Linked DNA regions of Drosophila melanogaster. Changing the gene in region 3 together with the main gene of any one other region gives a genetic interaction. Each region holds a gene or a part of one and is shown on either strand. Other genes may lie near its edges.

Region 1 (6,004 bases), 7.3 Mb from region 3:
AGTGCGACTCCGGATCGGAACGCATGGTCGTCGACGGCTAAGCGGATATTTAGGATAACACGTAGCTTTAGGAGTCGAGTTTGTTGTAATGTTTTTTTTCTGCTTCCTCTGTTTCCCGTTTTAAAGCAAGTGCATGTGTTATGTGGTTCAAGAGATTCTTCCTTGACTTTTATGTTTACAGCGAGAGCAGCAGATACATAGATGCAAGTTTAAACTATGCGAGAGTTAAGCAACTAAATCTAATGATGCAGAAATATTCGATAATTACATAATTACTAGATTATATATGTATATGATGTATCACATGTTGTAAGCCAGCGATCTTTTTAGGCCTTCAGAAGTGTAAATATTGTTAAAACCGGAAAGAGGAAGACATTGGAGTAGCAAGCAAGGCTGCTGGAGATTAAATAAATCCTTAAGAATTGAATTCCCCGTGGATCGATAGTTCTTTCTCTAGCCACATAGACGAGTGTATGGAATCTGTTCTTTGAATTGTGGTCATCATACGATGCTCACTTAACCCCCCCACATTTGCTGTGCTTTCGCATCACGAACCCAAGTAGCTGCAAGTTCAGGATCGGATCGTTCAAAATAATCTAGCTATATAATCTAGACCACTAGGCTAGGCTTAAGCAACTGTAAATATATTGCAAGTAACAGTTTTGAAAGTTCTGCGCTTGGCATTAATATTTATAACAGTGTACGTTACCATTAGTTACCTTACATTACGTATATACATATATATAATTTGATTCGTAAGCGACATCACGCCTGTGTCTTACCAAAGACCCTAGAATAACAAGATGCGTAACGGCCATACATTGGTTTGGCACTATGCAGCCACTTTTTTGGTGACGGCCAAAATTACTCTCTTTCCGCTCACTCCCGCTGAGAGCGTAAGAAATCTAAAAATATAATTTGCTTGCTTGTGTGAGTAAAAACAAGAGACGAGAACGCGTATAAGTGTGCGTGTTGTGCTAGAAGACGATTTTCGGGCCAAAATCAATTCTGATCGAAGAAACGAATTTACATGGTACATATTAGGGTAGTTTTTGCCAATTTCCTAGCAATATGATAAAATAAAAAAATTTTTAAAAATTCGCGCCCTGACTATTATAATTTTAAAGCTTTTTTAAATTTGTTTGTTAAAATCGCCGCTTGAATTAGCTACCGTTTACACATTTATATTTATGTTTAATTCTAATTTGTCTCTCATCTGACAATTTTTTAAAAGCGAAATATTTTTTTGAAACACTTTTAATGTTAATGTTACATCATATTAAGTCAAATGATTTAATAAATATACTAAATAATTAAATATGCAATTAAATTAAATTGCAAAAGTAATATCAAAGACAATAGAATTATTCTAGTGTCTTTGCTTTGTTCCACGGCCAAAAAATCGTGTGCCAAAAAATCGTATGGCGTTACGCATCTTGTTATTCTAGGGTCTTTGGTCTTACACTTTCCTTACCATCCAAAATCACACGATTCTTACAGTGGAACTTTTCTTAAGTTTATTATTTCTGCTTTTGATCGATTAAAGTAATTTTTAAAAATATTTTGGTACAGCTCTTACTCAAATAAAGCTCAGGAACTTCCATTTAACTTATCTATTTGAAATCATTATTTTTTTTTAGACATCATTAAAGAATGAATGCATCACACATTTAAGAAATCTGTTTTTATCATATTTAAAACGGATTTTTTGAGTTTAGGGCTAGAAAGTTTTCCAAATTAAAAGTTTGCTCTACAAAATACATTCATTAATTCGACTTCATTCATAAAACATCATTTCACAATCGCAACTTTGTAGCACAGTGTGGAGTGGAGTGTGCCAACCAGAGCTTTGTCTTCATCATATGTATGTGATATGAGTAAGTTTCAATAAAGCTGCATCTCCCGTGCAGTTTCATTCATCAAGTTTTCAGCAGTGAATCACTAACTAGTATGAAAACTAGTGATGATTTTAACATTGGCATTCCACGGTGCAAGTCGCGGGGTGTGGGGTGCGTAGCCGCTGTTATTATCGAAGTGCAGGGTATGTAAACATTAGGGGGTGTGAGTGGCCAGCTCTGGAATTGCGTCATGCGCCCCCTCGCAGAGCGGGTGGGTGGGCGCAGGGGAGGAAGGAAATGCCAACGGGTTGGAAATGCTTTCCAAGCTGAGCGCATGTGCCGTGGGAATCCGAATCCCCTGCATCCCCCAGAGAGACACTCTCTCTTCTCAATTTTGGCAGCTCTCCTTGGTCAGTTGTCATTTTGCCGGCGGAAAGTTCGCGTGTTTGTTTTTGCCTGGATGTAAATGTGCAATAGTTTTGCGTTCGCGGGTGCAAGCAAAACGGTAAATAAAAGTGAAATAAATGAAATAAAGAAAGCCAAAGGCCAAGCAGAGAAGCGCAAGCAAGAAAGTCCTGTGAACCAAATAGAAAGCAAAACACACGGGGGGTAGCAATCAAGCCAATTCTCCTTCAATGGAAGGAGAAGAATGCGCATTCCATTCATTCGCTAACAAAACCATTCAATCAATGCCAATTGCCTAGTTTAATTCAACAAAATGAAAACAAAATTGTTCCGGCAATTGACGAGGCGTAAACAAAATGCAAAACAATTGTTTGCCAGCCGGATTCTGCGCAGTGTGCCTTATATTTCCAGCAGGATCAATAACCTTCTTATCAGCGGAAAATAAGGGAAAACGACAACAAACCGTTGACTTGGCAATCAAAACAAAGGGCAAAAGCAAAAAGGAAATTTGTTTGCCGGCCATGAAATAGACTATGGTATTGAAAACCAGCAGCCTATGATTATCCGGAAGTATCTCTCTGGGCCCGCGGAAAGTGCAACAATTCTAGTAACGTCAAATTGCAACAAACTGATTTCACAGGCCCCCCCAACCCCAACAAACAGAAAATCTTAATTTCTTTTCTTAAGAAAACGAAATGAATGAATTATTTTTTTTATTCATCTCGACACAACCTCGGCGGCACTCGAACCGCCACTCGAAAAACGTGAGCACGCGTGAATCGACATCTCAGCGCACTCGACCAAATCGGTGGTGGAATTTATGTCGTTCAAACTGAACTGCCTCCAAAAGAGCTTTTGAGTTAAAGAGATTGAAAAGCTCTGCACAGTGGATCCACTTGGCGAATTTCGAAAACAAACATTTTAAAAATATATAACAGCTATTTACTTTTTTTGTTTCAAATTATTATTTAAATTTCTACAATATTGGGGAATAAAAGGACAGACAAGTTCGGAGCATAATACTTGATAATTACTTTTCCGCAGCTGAACTCTAATCGCTACAAACACTGCCAAACCACAACACAACGATCCGCCCTGATCCCAAAACCAAATCTGGATAGCCAGGAACAGCAGGATGTGGCCCGGCTCCGAGCGAGGAAGCTCGCGGGCCCTGGAAATCCCAACCAGCCAGCAAAATGCCGGCGGTAGTAGTCAGCAGGAGACTCTGGCCGACATCGAGCACATATCCACCATTGCCGGCTCCCTTGCCTCCATTGGATCCCTCTCGCACACCCAAATGCGCTATGTAAGGAGCCGGAGTTGCTTGTAAAGATCGTATCTCTAACTCTAATTACCCGCAGCAATGCACCAATGATGCCGGCTATGATACGGAACACACGTCCCTGAACTCGGACTTCGATGAGGCCGAGCTGCGACGGGAGCTACTAAGAGATGTGAGTTCCAATACGAAAATCCTGAACATTACTTATTATAATTCCTTCTTTCTTCACTTTACTTACAGAAATGGAAACTGCTCTTTGACATGGTGAGTAAGCCAACCCAAAAAGGAATACTTATAATTATACTTATTTATAATTACTTTTCACGCTTTGCAGTTCGATCCCGAGGGTTTTGGCGAAATATCAGTCGAGGAATTCCTGGAGGCCCTCAAGTCGCCGGAGTTCCTGTCCCAAGTGCCTATGAACAAGCGGGAGCTGCTGCTGGAGCGGGCAAAGAAGGCGAAGCTGCCCACAGGACCCGGCTACGTGACGTTCCAGGACTTTGTGAATGTGGTGAGTGTGCCGTGTGCCGCAATTACAATCGCCGGTGGTCACTGGCCAAGTAACCAAAGTAACCAAAGTACCCAAAGCACCCATGCCATGCGTATATTTGTCCCGGGCTGCTCATCAACGGCAAACTCGATTTAAGTGCAAACACAGGTGCAAAGTACTCACCCAGGACGAGGTCCAAAGTGTAGGCTCGTGTTCAAACAGACGGAGGACAAGGCCTCGTCCTGGCAGGAGCCGCACTCTTGTTTGGCAAATGCAAAAAGTGCGCTTGGCAAATAAATGCGCCGCTTACGCTTACACTGCGAATAAAAGGGGGTTACTTACTTTTATGCTAGTACCTATGGACACCTTGTTCCGGAAGCAGCAATGTATTTGAATGAAATACACTGCGCATTAAGTTATTTGAAGGATATACCAAGGACATCGATTGTAGAAAAAGTTAGACCATAGTTTTTCTGTATGTAAGCCCACGTCTCGTTTGCTTCCTTCGCCACGCTTGGCCAGGCATTTGAGTGTTTGTCCTGGTTACCTGGGCACTGGCTATTTGTCCTGATGTGGTCCGAAAATACTACCTTGGACTTGAGCTGTGCAACTGGAGGGGAGTGGGCGGCAGAGGTGACTTCTGCGAGCGAATGAAGCGCTTTTCTCGGCTTTTCCTTTGATTGGCAGGGCAATCCTATTGCATTTTGATTGATTCTACCCAGTTGATTGGCACGCACACAAACCGCACACGACAAAACACTCATGCATAATCAATTGCACAGTGAATATTCCTTCGCCTTGGCCGTTCGATTGTTTGCCAAAGTGTCCTTAAAGTCATGAATTAGCCAGGCCGACGTGTCCTCATTTGCCCCTGTGTGTGTGTGTGTAAGTGTGTGAGTGAGTTTGGGCAAAGACACTAGAATAACAAGATGCGTAACGGCCATACATTGGTTTGGCACTATGCAGCCACTTTTTTGGTGACGGCCAAAATTGCTCTCTTTCCGCTCGCTCACGCTGAGAACATAAGAAATCTAAAAATAGAATTTGCTTGCTTGTGTGAGTTAAAAACAAGAGACGAGAACGCGTATATGTGTGCGTGTTGTGCTAGAAGACGATTTTCGGGCCGAAATCAATTCTGATCAAAGAAATGAATTTACATTGTACATATTAGGGTAGTTTTTTGCCAATTTCGTAGCAATATGATGAAATAAAATAATTTTTAAAAATTCGCGCTCTTCTTATTATAATTTTAAAGCTGTTTAAATTTGTTTGTTAAAATCGCCGCTCGAATTATCTACCGTTTACACATTTATATTTATGTTTAATTCTAATTTGTCTCTCATCTGACAATTTTTTAAAAGCGAAATAATTTTTTTGAAACACTTTTAATGTTAATGTTACATCATATTAGGTCAAATGATTTAATAAATATACTAAATAATTAAATATGATAACTGTTTATTGCAAAAGTAATATCAAAGACACTAGAATTATTCTAGTGTCTTTGCTTTGTTCATATCTTGAGGCACGAAATGCGGACACAAGCACTCAACAATCATTGCCTTATTAATTTTTCACACGCCGCAAGATGAATACTCTAATGACAAATATTCTTATATAAAGTCATGTTTGAAATTGATTTTTGTGATAATATGTACATAGATTTGGCTTTTTCTAATCTATTTTCAAATAATAATAACGTTAAGGCAATGCAAAACAAGAATTTTTCGCATGGTGCCAATTGATAAAAAATAATATAGATTTAAAGTCTAAGAACTTCTACGGTGAAGGGCATATTTTGTCAAATTTACAATGCATGAGCATACGTGTGCACACATAAAGTTGTCTGCTATCACTGTATGCGTAGAAAAGAGCGGTTCGCTGTAGCGCTCTTCGCTCTCTCGCTCTCTAACAAAAATTCGAGAGAGCCTGGAGCCACCTCTAGAGCCACGGCCAAAAAATTGTGTGCCAAAAAATCGTATGGCGTTA
Region 2 (5,998 bases), on a different chromosome or scaffold from region 3:
CTCTTGAGCTTCTTTTTAAGCAGCAGTGTGCGTTCGTCACCGGTTTCATCCAATTCCTGATTGGAAGCACCAGCAAACTTGGCATTCTCCTTGTCCGATTTGCTGGTGGTACTTTCTTCCCTAGCCTTCCGACCGGCCAAAGAGCTATACGAATTCCCGGAATACGATGTGGAGTAGGCCCTTCGGCGGGGATACTCGTAACTATAGGTGCGCGGATAGGCCAACGAATAGCCCAAGGCTCCCAGAAGGAGTAGAAGAAACAGTTTCATATTGAAAACGCGATTCTATTGCTGAAAGACTTCTGCACGCTCGGCGGGATGAGCACAAACTATTCCTCTAATGCGGAGTACGCCCCAACTTATCACCTTGCCCGTGCGCAAAAAAACCAACTCGAATTTGGCAAATTGGCTGCTATTCCCTTAGAAGGCAGCCAGACACCGGCGATATTGCATAATGCCCTTTTTTATTGGCTCAATTTTTCCAGGGCATTGTTTTGATATGGTAATTCAGGCCGCCCACCCGAGCCACCGGCATCATCAACCTCATCATCATCAGTATAATCGCCCACATGGCACAACAATAGCCAAGTAAAAACATGTTACACTCGGCGACTCATGTGCATTGACCTGAACCAAGCGATGGAAGCTCTCACCCAACGCTGTTTTGGCCAAAACCACGTTTCTGCCAAAAATGTAACCCGAAAGTGGGTCAATGTCGAGTTTACCGACTGCACCAAGTATCGCTAATATGGGAGCTAAGCTAATTAGGTTTGGGGGGATGCACGGATGCTTCTCACATTAATCAATTTTTTTCGCCAACGGCAACCCAATTTATGACGCTCTGCACTACTATTAATATCTGATAAAAAATGCTGCCAAAATAAGCCTTATTAAAGTGGTATAATTATTATAATAATTATAATATGAATCATCTCATCTATCTTCAAAGATTTGAAATCTTTTTACAAATTGTAGCCCGTTTAGTAAAGTTGTTTTTGGATAATCAATTTAACATAGAAAAATATAAACTGAATTCTCAGAAAAAGATACCTTATAGCTATAGATTTCTCTCAATACAGTGAAACCTAAATGTTAAACAAAAAAAAAAGCAAATATCTAATTTCCTTTGAAAACTGTTATCATTGCCGTATACATATAAAATGTTTATTTAAGCACATTCACTAGTCGTCTACGCTTATGATTAGGATATAAGTATACATTCAACTTAGAACTATGAAAACAAAACTGTACAATTTTTGGAGAGTCCGAGCAGCTTCTGTTTGGGCTTTGGAAGTGGCATCTGCCATGGGTTACTATGAGCACAATAAAAGGCTGAGCTAGGAAGTCTGTGCGTTGTATTCGAAGGGAGTCTACGTCCCTAGTTAGACAGCCATTTTCGGTTTGTTGGCCTCGGCCCGCTTCCGAATGGCCCTCAACCGCTGGGTGCAGTAGACCCTCAGGAAGATGGCAACGAAAACGATCAGAACACCGAAGATGCCCAACAGCGATATGCTGTGCTGGTAGATGAAGCAGGAGAGCATAATGGCCACCGCCTGTGGGAAGCAGAATGAAATTTCTCGTAAGCAGGCAGTTGATTAAACAAACCCCCATTCCACACTCTCAAAACAACTCACCTGACGCAGTGTCATTATTATCGTAAACACAACTGGGCCGAAGACATCAATTGTATGATAGATAAACAATTGTCCGACCGCTGAACAAACGGAAAGCACAACCATATCAAACACAAACTTAGGATGCTGGAGAAAAATACAAAAAAACAGTGAGAAAGTACCATCTGGTGTCTTACATATATCAGCTACTTGAAAAAACGTTAAATTTTTAAAATCTATTGTTATTTTGTTATAATTTTGCAATTTGGGTTATGCAAATCACAAACCACAAAACACAAACAAATCAAATATTCTTTCAATTTCAGAACATGCTACGTTATTTTGATTAAAATGGATATCATCATAAATTGAGAGCTTGATATCTTTATATATATTTACCTCTGTAGCAAATGCCAAGGAGTCCATGAATCCTCCCTGCATGGACAGCGAGGCTCCAGTGAAAATGGAGGAAAACAGGTTGACGCCGCACATCATCTGCAACGGAGTCATGCCGTAGCTCTTGAAGAGCGATCCCTGCCAATTGGCAGTGAAGCTGTCGAAGACCATGTACATGGAGAGCAGGAAAATGCCCGTGAGCGTGGTCACTCCGCTGGCCTTGCTGCTGTCCGAGGAGCCGCTCATGAAGAAGATCATGCCCAGCGATATGAGCAGGGCCGTCACATACTCGTAACTCTCGTACTTTGCCTTAGACATGATTTTGCCCATCAGCATAACGGGTATAATCTTACACGATTTGGCCAGCACCTGGGTGGGAAAGTTGACAAACTTCAGGGCCTCGTACTGGAACCATGCGCTCATTATATTCGAGAAGGAGGCATAGGAGTATTTGTACAGAGGTGCACGGTGTCGCACAGGTGAGGGCTGCCATTGTAGATAGGCCAGCGCCACGAGAAAGGCCAGCAGACGATTGGAAAACACCAGGAACTGAGAGTCCTTAAACTTGGCACTTTCTCCAGTGAAGTTCAGATAGTTTTGAGTCATTATCTTCTCCTGCAGTACACCCCAGGTAAGATAGGAGATCATCAGGCCGCCAAAGCACCATAATAGTTGCACGGCCTCCTGGGAACTCGTTCGCTTTGGTGCCGTAGAGGCTGCCGGACGATCCTTATCCGCGGTGCTGGTCCCTGCATCCAACTGATCGTATCCAGAGTTACCCGTGATACACATATTGATAGCCTTGTGCAGGAATGTCTTGTTGCCTCTTTCCAGGTAGTTAATCCTGCCGACATATTTGTAGATCAAGAAGCCCGGCACAAAGACGCAGCTATAACCAAAGCAATTGACCAGCAGCTTAAGGAACCATGCGTAGTCCGAGTTCTGCGACTCAACCAGCTGGGAAAGTGTAACATCCTGGTTGTAGTAGCCGCCTAGGGAGGCTCTCAGCAGATCCGAGAAGAAGTGTATGACAAGCAGGGTGACCACTATGAAGGAGCTGTTCAGATTTTAAGGGCGGGATTAGTTTAATTTGATTTTCAACTTCGTTGGGTTCTCACCATATAACAAGCTCTGGAACCCGACCCATCTTATTATAGGCGTACATGTGGCGCGTTTCGTTGGCTCTCTCGGTTTGAATGCCCGGTGCTGCTGACTCGACCGATTCTCCGATTCCTATTGAACCCGCGGGCGATAATCTATTACCAGTCAAGTGTCAAGAGTTCAACAACCGGCGCGGCTCTGAAAACTAGTTTTTGCATGATTCGCACACTCCAAATCGGCATCATCTAATTACCATATCCCGAGTTTGTTTACAATCGGCTGCCAGATGTGCGTGCGGTGCGTTTGGAGCTTCAAGATGTTCTGGACGTCCGGGGTACTAGGCTCGGGCAGCCGGCACTAGCTCTCAGGCCAGCTGCTCAAACATTCTGCAGCTATTTGGCCGCCAGCGAGTAGAACGAGATTGCCAAATATTTTATAATAGTAACCAATACGTTACCAGTATGACCGCGCCGATAACGATAGAAAATACCACACGGTCTAAAAGTAAATACCATTTGGGGTATTCCCTAATCTTTTGAATTATTTACCGTTAGGTTTCGGTCGTTTTTTTTTGTCAGCTGTTCTTTGTATGAAACGGATTAGTAATTTTATTTGTTGTTTTTGTGCATTTTTGCATATTAAAAGCCTTGAAACATGCCTTAAATCGTTAAAATAGATTATAAGAGGGATGGACTGTTTGTTAAAACCAATTGGAAAATTTGTAATCGCTGGTAATAACTATCGAGATAAGCTTAATTATCGCTGTTTTCTTTGTATCTAGTTATAAATAATAATAATAAAACTGGTAATTAACAAAAGTAAAAAGTTACTTAACTTATACAAAAATATTTAGTTATTGTATTCAATAATAAGATGGTAATAATAGATGGTAAGATAGTAATATTTTAATAATTGAATTTCATCACACATGCTGTTGCACGTTCCCACAACTTACAATCAAACGAAAGGAAATTCCGCTTGAGGTCTAATACCAGGCGCACATCAATTTCAGGAGGAGTGTGGAATGTGTGATTCAGAGGACACCCCTCACATAATGAACGTAATGAAATCGAAAGGACTCGTTGCCTGTCCATGTGTGCGTGTGTCTGTGCGTGCGCGAGGGGTGTGTCGCTTGACATTGCCATTCCTTGCTTTAGGGGTGGGTTTCGATGGCTGTGCAACCCCTAGTGCTGATGATTTGGCTATTTAAAAACCTAATAAAACAAATAATGAGAAGGTTTATTTAAAATCAAATCAATTTTACATGAATAATTATTTTGAGAAATCTTAATACAAAACTTGTGGAATTTAAAATTATCTGTTTATAAAATGTACATACCACTATATTAAAAAGTAATCAAATTTACTTCATCTGTCTACTTTCCAGCCAGAACTTATGCAGCACTGACAACCACTGGCACAGGAACACGATGGCACGGACTACGCCCCTGTGGATGGCAGGTCGCGATTCTGCCCGCCCAAGTGGGTGGGTCACAGGCACCGGCAACCTCCGAGTCCCGCGGAGCGTTTCAATTAGCGAGTACGGGCACTGGGTGGCGCCCAAAACGAGTACGGCACCGCCGGACTGGCTCTTTGTGATTTTTGCCAAGAACGCGGCCAAGAACCTCAGCAGCAGCAGCAGCGGCAGCACATTCAACTCGACAGACACGTGTCCATCAGCGGTTTAACCCTTCTTAAGGTAACGCCCAAGGATTACCAGGCGACCAGGAATCGCAGTGGGCAACCCAACGCCACTCGATGCCATTGCGCATGTCACCCCACTAGGGCGTGATCTACGGGGCGGAGTAAAGCGTACGGCCTGCCCCGCTGGCCCACCCACCGAGTGGGATGGGTTCTTTCACGTTACCATTGTCGAGGCCATTACATAACGGTAACATGCAGGAGCAGCGCTGCCGACGGGCCAAACCGGTTAACAGTTACGTCGTAACTAGGAGCAACCTTAGTGCACCAGGCGAACAGAACGGCCAGCGGGAGCGGCATTACTACGTCTTTACATTGATGCACCCACCCCGGTGGGTTTAACTCACAGTTGCGGCTAGAAATGTAGCACAAGTTATTAATTTTCATATTTAAATACGAATCCTGATGTTGAAAAGGTATCAGGTTTAAAATTTGGGGGGACAGCGCATTTCAAATTATAGATTTCTACCCTTTCGGGAATATATTTAGGAAGCATAGGACATCATAGCATATTTTTTGGCTTCTTTCAGTGAATTCTTATTAGTTAAGTTTGAGATTCGTATTATTTTTAAAGAAAATAATTATTATTACATTAATAAGTATATGTAGTTCGTTGCTGTGATTTTATTATCGTGAACACCACTGTTTGCGGCTGCTGGCAATTTAGGGGTTGCTCTTGCGGCTGCATTAAGTGCGCTACTTCTGCTCAAGGTCGCGTCCCACACACACACGCACACACGTACACACACACGAAATCGCGGTCCTGTGTCTTTGATTTCGCCCTTGTGAGAGTGGCAGCATCTCGCACACTCGACAGATTTCAGTGTGTGTACTCAGGCGACACGTGTATACGTCCGTCACATACTCGTACACATTCTTTCGTGGTAGATTTCGTACCAGGGGAGCATAATCCTGTGCTACCGCATCAGCATGTCAGCATAATTTGGAATGTTCCACGCACAGCTGCCCATGTGTGCGTCTAATGGAATCAGTGTGCGTGAGCCGAACGCACACACATGAGCGTAAACATGCTTGTATGTAAGGGGTGGTGTTGGTAGCTGCTACCCTTCAGCCCTCATCGCGTATACGCAGTGGAAGGAAAAGCACGAAAAGCTCACCGAAGTCTACAACCGGGTTCTGGAAGAGGATATTGAACACCAGAGAAGTCCGAAAGGAAAATAAATTTAA
Region 3 (6,252 bases):
GAGTGTTGTGTTCTAAGCTTGAATGGAGGTGGGCATCGAGTAAAAGGGTAGCTCAGACTGCAACTGGAACAGAAATAAATATTTAATTATCCACCAGATATTCCGGATAAAACGTGTATCTCATGAATAAAACAAAATACAAAACGAGTTTCGGGCAATCGGAATTTGGCTGACGATCTTTACGATCGTCGCGACATAAGTGTTATGGATCGTTTTTGGTTCAGCTTGATGGGTTTTGCTACTTTTTGACGAATTTCGCTTAGTCGAAATTTGGCACATTTATGTTGGCAGTTAAGCCTTAAGTGGAGTTCTATGCCATTTGCCATCTCACATGGAATGGAACTTCAACTTTTAATTGGCAGTGCCGAGCGATAGTGAGCTGTGCTGCTCTTCCTCTAACCACTAATGATTTGGGTATGGGATTGGGGCATATGCGCAGTTCTCTAGTTAATTAAAATTTTTACTCGAGGATGAGCTCCTTTGATGGCAAAAGCATAAGCGTAGGCCCACGCACCCAAACTGCAGGTATGCATACCTACGTACATGTCAGGGAAATGGAATCCGTTTGAAAAGTTGTCTGCTAAGCAGTTTTCCCCGCTCCAAACGAGTCACGTTTGCCTTTGCCTTCTCTATTTGCACTTTTCACTTATCTAGCCAGGCGGCACACAAACACTTGCCGGCGGAGGAGATACGCGGATACATGGGCTCATATCTCATGGCTTGCTCTAATTTCTGTTGCGAGTTGCTTAAATATTTAGTAACACGGTCGGGGGCATTGGAACTGCTATGCCTTAAGCATAGATACAGATACTACAGATACTTGCAGGTAAACAGATACAGATACTGTGCGATACGATTAGATACTGCAGCTACGACTTCCTGTGCGTCTTTGTAACGCGCCAATGTTAATGTTCATTTTAATAGGCACGGAGTAATACTGTTTTTTTTTTTTGGCCCAAAAGCAAAGCCAACTCAATTAGCAGTCGAGTGGTGTGCGCAATTAAATTAAAATTTAGTTTTATGCCGAGCGCCTCTACCGGGAACTGCACGGCAAAAGCAAATCGGGAGAAACATATCGTATGCATGGCACCGACGAGAGATTAGCATCACAAACAGCACATAAACGTAAAAGTAACACACTCCAGAGCAAACAGAAAGAGATATAGATGGAGATACGGATACGTACTGTACGGATACAGATACATTAACAGATATACATAGATACATTGGCGGGGCATAAATTCTACGGAGGCGGAGGCAGGCGCAAGTGGAACTATGTAAACAGTAAATAAATGTCGAAAACAAGGTTCGGCATACTTAAGCAGGAGCAACGACCAGAGATACAGAGATACATACATAGGTGCTGATCGGAGATACGCCGCCTGGCATTAGCCAAATTGAAATTCCTCAAAGCCAGCGCTAATAACTTCCAGCTACCAGTTCAATTGGGCATTCTGGCATTCAGGTGGATAAGTCTCTGGGACACACAAACATGCACTTGTAACGCCAACTCTCGGTTGGCTATTCGGTTCTTCACACTTTGATGCCATGGCAATGCGGTCTGCTCAGCAATGTATCTCATAGATAGTTCTTCTTGGCGTTAACTACCTGCGTGTGGGAACGACTGAACAGAATGAGCAAAGAGAACCGAGAACCTCTGCAGACAGGTAAGCATTGGAGGGAAAAGTTGCAACATCATCGCCAGATACATTTGTATTCCAGTCGAGTTTGCGGCTGTGTATCATGTAATTGTGCGTAAACGCGTAAATACCAAGTCAAGGTCGGCTAATCAATAATAATTATTTTTCACTCAATTACACGAAACAGATATATATTGGGTACATTCGCTCGTTTTCGACTGATATTATCGGATTGTATTGCATTATTTGGTTATTCGGTCTTATTTTTGACTTCGGGTATGAAATATGCATAAACAAAAATATGTCGAGTATCTTGTGGATATCGGCTGTGGTAAATATAAATATACCTTCCATAGCCTTCACACAGTTTGGCCTCAGATGCGTGCCACTTGATATGGCAGTGTCGAGAAATCAGAATAACAAATGATGCCGCCGCCTGTGTATCTATGTATCTCTGCATCTGCGAGGTGCCAGATCCGATATGTAATGAACCTGGCGCGGCCAAAAACTTTATCCACGGCACGTCGAAAACTTTTCCGAGGCGTTGCTCAATGCGCAATCTTCTAATTGCAAACGGCGCCCGGCTGTTCGAGTGGTCATAGTTCGCCTCGAGTGGCTGCCCGCTCGAGGGTTTCACTCAGTTCAATGAATTTGCATATGCTTCTAGTTTCTGGCGGGGATTGAGAAGCGGATGGGGTCTAGAACGGACTAGAAATAAGAGAAACTGCAGCTGCGGGATGGCAAAAACTTTGGCTGACGCGCGATTTACTTGGTTGAAGTATGGAAGACTGATGGCGAGGCGAGGGTTAAGACAAACTCTGAAATCAAGGCAATGAATTTCCCGCAAAAGAAATGTTTTTAAACGGAGAGGATGCAAAAGTAATTAAATTGAAAAACCATTATCAATAATCCCAATTTATGTACCTCTTTCTTATTTAATGGAGTAGATAACTTAGACTTTAAGTATTCGAACCACTCTAGTGACCTGGGGAAATAACATACGTTTTCCTCTGCATAGTTTAAAGTTAGTACGTTTGCTCCTAAGGGGCCTTAACCATATTGGTAGCTTTAACTTCCTCCATCGTTCCCCGCTTCTTCCCCAGCCCGCATGTCCAAGTGCATACTCGATATTATAACTCTACGGATGGATGGCGTGAACTTTACCTTTTTCGCTGTAAGTCCCACTCGACTTGATGTCGATCGATTCGAAGTAGCTCTTGACGGCATCACACTGGTGGGTCGATCCCCCAACGGCGTCCTTCGCCCGCGAGTCCCGCTGTAGGCGACGTCTGTGGTGCGTGGTGGCGCTGTGCAGGTGGTGCTGGTGGTGGTGGATACCATCCAGGTCCAGGTGCTTGGCGGCTGACAGGCCGACGAAGCCGCAGAGCAGGGTAAATAGCAAAAGCTGCGCTAGCCGCACGCTCCTGGCCGCCATTTTTGATGGGTGATTTCTGTGTGCAGACACAGTGGATGATGGGGCTAAATTTGATTTGCCTTTGAATGCTTCTCTTATTTTTATTTTAGCCGGTTATTTTATTTACTCTATTTTGCAGCACTTCTTCGTATTTACTTCTGCATGCTGTCTGGGTGAACAGCTGTTCGCGGCAACAAACACACACACTCACACAAATGCACTTGCCGGCTAACACGCACACACACACACTGGCACACACGGCCACAAACACGAGCGCACAAAACAAAAGGCCCCAAAAACACGCGTGAGCAATAAACGTGGTAGTAAACGTGGGATGGCGATAGTGGGTGGTGGTGGGTGGTGGTCGAAGAGAGAGCGCGTGTCTAGCACTTTTTGCTTTTCTACTTTCTAGTTTTGAAAGGTCGCTAAATTTCTCACAAGTATTTTCTTAACTTATTCAGAGACTTTCCATGACATAACAACGAATAGTACTCAATTCCTTAGCAATTGATTTGCCAGCGATTAGATTTGTTTTTTTTTTCTTCTTTTTAATTTTCTCCTACGTTTTGTGTACTTAGGTCGGCGAAAATAGATTTAATTGCAAAGCTCCTTGGCCACCGGCGTTCTCAGGTCGAGGAAATGCACTCGCCTTCTTTTCTAGCGTTTTTCCGCTCGAATTTCGCACCGATATTTTCAGTTTTTCCGCGCGCGCAACGAACCTTCCACGACGAGAAACCCGAACAGATTGACTTTGCCATCGAAATCAAACATCCGCCCTGAGTGCTACAACTTTAACGATGCGAACACGAACCACACTCGGCACTCGACAATCGGCGCTAAGAGAACCATCCGAACGCTCTCTTTCGAACAAAAGAGAACGGCGAGCACAGATGTTGGCACAGTGGTGCAATGAATAGAGGTGTTTATGCGAACTCAATTTAATTCACAGGTTAACGCCGAGAATACATGAGTAATACAAGGGCGCAATCTGAAATGAATTAATTAATTTGAGTCTTTAGAGTTTTGGAAAACGAGCTTCGAACTAAACCACAAACTTTGTAATGCTTATTAGATATTATAAAGTATTTTAATTAAGGAATGCCCAACCACAATTTATAAGATGTTGTATTTATTAACAGCATGTAGTATGAGTAAAAGGGGAAATTAAAGTTAGTAACGCAAGCTTAGCTTTCGTAAGATATCTATTCTCTTCGATGATTGCCAAACGATTTCGACAGCCAATGAATCTACGTAGTTCCATAAAATTTGATATGACACATATCCTGTTTTCGTTTTATATATTTCAATAGTGATTCGCATTTATTTATGGGTTCCGGCATTCTTCAGGACCAACTTCGAGTTTTCCCTGGCCGTGTCATCTGCCACAGGAGCTGGCTTGATTCTGATTATTTTTCTCTGTGTCCGATGGGCCTAAATATTTATTCAAATTCTCGAAATGCTCTTCTAAAAGCTTTCAACGTTGGCTCGCTGCAATTTGCATATTCAACGTAAATCAATCCATCTCACAGTGGTCTTCTCGGGTGCTCCGGTGGCTTTTAATCCGGGCTTTTATCGATGCCGCTGGTTGAAATTTGCATGCTCGGTTCTAATTGATGTCTGAATGAGTTCTAATTTTATTTCATAGGCTATGTTTTACGATCGGCTTGATGAACCCGTGGAGCAGGCTCAGATTTCACGCCTTTGAAGAGTCTCAGATGCTTGGCAGCTATTTCCCTAGGGCTAAATGTTTCTGTTCAAATTGATAGCCGTGTCATGACCTCGCACAGCACGTGTGGTGGTATCGTTTGTTTTTTTTTCTTCATTTCTTTTCTTTTGTTAATTTTTTCCCTTTGCAATTTGCGAAAACGAAGCGATTGTCTTGAGGCTGCAGCGGTGTGGCAGACAATGCACGACCCGAACACACCAGCCTCTTCTCCCCGGACTTTCACTCGTCACCCCGCGGGCACCGACCTCGATCTTAAATACCTAGGCGTCTCGGGGCGTCTGTGTATCTATTTCTTCATTAACAAGATACTATATAGCCAGGGCAGCGGGAACTTCATGGTGGTCAGTTGCGGGCGTCCAGCTGGGCGCAAACGCCCTCCCACCCCCCATGGATGTTTTCCGTTCCCGGTGATATGTTCATCACGAAATGGAATCCTATTCAAATTAGTGTGCGATAAAGAAAGACCTCCCAAAAAATAAGAAAAAAAAAAGGAGAAGACTCAAGACCCCGGGGCAAACAGCGAAAAGTGAGTCATGCGAAGCGGAAACAGTTCTCCAATGAAACGAATCCACATCAGAAACAACCGTGATGATGATGATGATGATGATGGTGATGGGATGGCGAAACGGCAACAAAAAACAAAAACGAGCTGGAAAAGGTGAGGTCGAAAATTAAACACCACCACATCGTTTAGATAAAGTTATAAATTATAATGTACACTACGGAACGATCGATGAGAGCGAAGGTCCCAAAGAAACCGAAACCGAAACCAAAACCAAAACCCTTTTACTTCTCGCTCTCTCGCCTTATTTTCCGTTTTTTTTTCCTCCTTATTTTTGTATCGCACAGGTAAACCGTAGGCATATATATTATATAGGTGTGTGGGTAAAGGTAGGACTGGAATTAAACGAATTTAGTCAAACGGCATCTATAAATTATGGTGCTTCTTTTTGGCGATCGGGAAAATATGAACGCTTTTAGCTCGGCTCGTTGGCTTGTTGGCCCAACTCGAATTTCGTTTAAACGCTTGATTTAGTGCAGCAAAATATGGCCAAATGTTGGGCTATCTATGCAGTTGTATCCGCTTGTGTTTGTGTGTGTGCGCGCATTCCACAAGCGACAGCGTTTTACACTTGAAATCCTCCGGAGCGGGTCGAAAAGAGATGGATATATATACCCATGGAGCGACCCGGCTTGCCTTTTATCCTGGCACAAACACGTTGGTGGCATTCGGTTGTTGGTGTGCCTGCCTGTGTGTGTGACTGGTCCAACAGGTTCCACGGAGATTCTTCTCCAGTACCGCTCCCTCATGCCCGAAGACTGGCATGCAGCATTTCTCGTTCTCGGTCTCGTTTTGCACATTTTTGAATTTTATTTTAATTTCTTTTTATTATATTTTAGCTGCCAGGCTGCCCCTTTTCAGTGGGGGCCCCCCTTTTCTGGTACTTCGCTTCGGGTTTCTTCTGCTTTGA

Evidence for each region.
Region 1: of dally (region 3) and stet, changing one suppresses a phenotype caused by changing the other (phenotypic suppression), as found in Drosophila melanogaster (one study listed by BioGRID).
Region 2: of dally (region 3) and sll, changing one enhances a phenotype caused by changing the other (phenotypic enhancement), as found in Drosophila melanogaster (one study listed by BioGRID).

Annotation. Positions count from the first base shown.
Region 1 is NT_037436.4:1,485,791-1,491,794, reverse strand, and holds the start of stet (stem cell tumor), read left to right. Parts: upstream 1-2,247; 5' UTR 2,248-2,343; intron 2,344-2,749; exon of another isoform or gene 2,750-2,889; intron 2,890-2,963; exon of another isoform or gene 2,964-3,056; intron 3,057-3,287; 5' UTR 3,288-3,378; coding exon 3,379-3,549; intron 3,550-3,604; coding exon 3,605-3,697; intron 3,698-3,765; coding exon 3,766-3,789; intron 3,790-3,859; coding exon 3,860-4,036; intron 4,037-6,004. Other genes in the region: CG12084 (uncharacterized protein), read left to right, coding at 1-41.
Region 2 is NT_033777.3:17,603,694-17,609,691, reverse strand, and holds sll (slalom), read right to left. Parts: upstream 3,587-5,998; 5' UTR 3,363-3,586; intron 3,315-3,362; exon of another isoform or gene 3,308-3,314; 5' UTR 3,174-3,307; coding exon 3,127-3,173; intron 3,066-3,126; coding exon 2,012-3,065; intron 1,760-2,011; coding exon 1,634-1,759; intron 1,553-1,633; coding exon 1,382-1,552; 3' UTR 1,151-1,381; downstream 1-1,150. Other genes in the region: CG14329 (uncharacterized protein), read right to left, coding at 1-269. UniProt on the Drosophila melanogaster protein: Mediates the transport of adenosine 3'-phospho 5'-phosphosulfate (PAPS), from cytosol into Golgi. PAPS is a universal sulfuryl donor for sulfation events that take place in the Golgi.
Region 3 is NT_037436.4:8,825,056-8,831,307, reverse strand, and holds the start of dally (division abnormally delayed), read right to left. Parts: upstream 3,804-6,252; 5' UTR 3,076-3,803; coding exon 2,805-3,075; intron 1-2,804. UniProt on the Drosophila melanogaster protein: Cell surface proteoglycan that bears heparan sulfate. Functions as a coreceptor for growth factors and morphogens, such as the products of dpp, to regulate signaling and distribution of these ligands.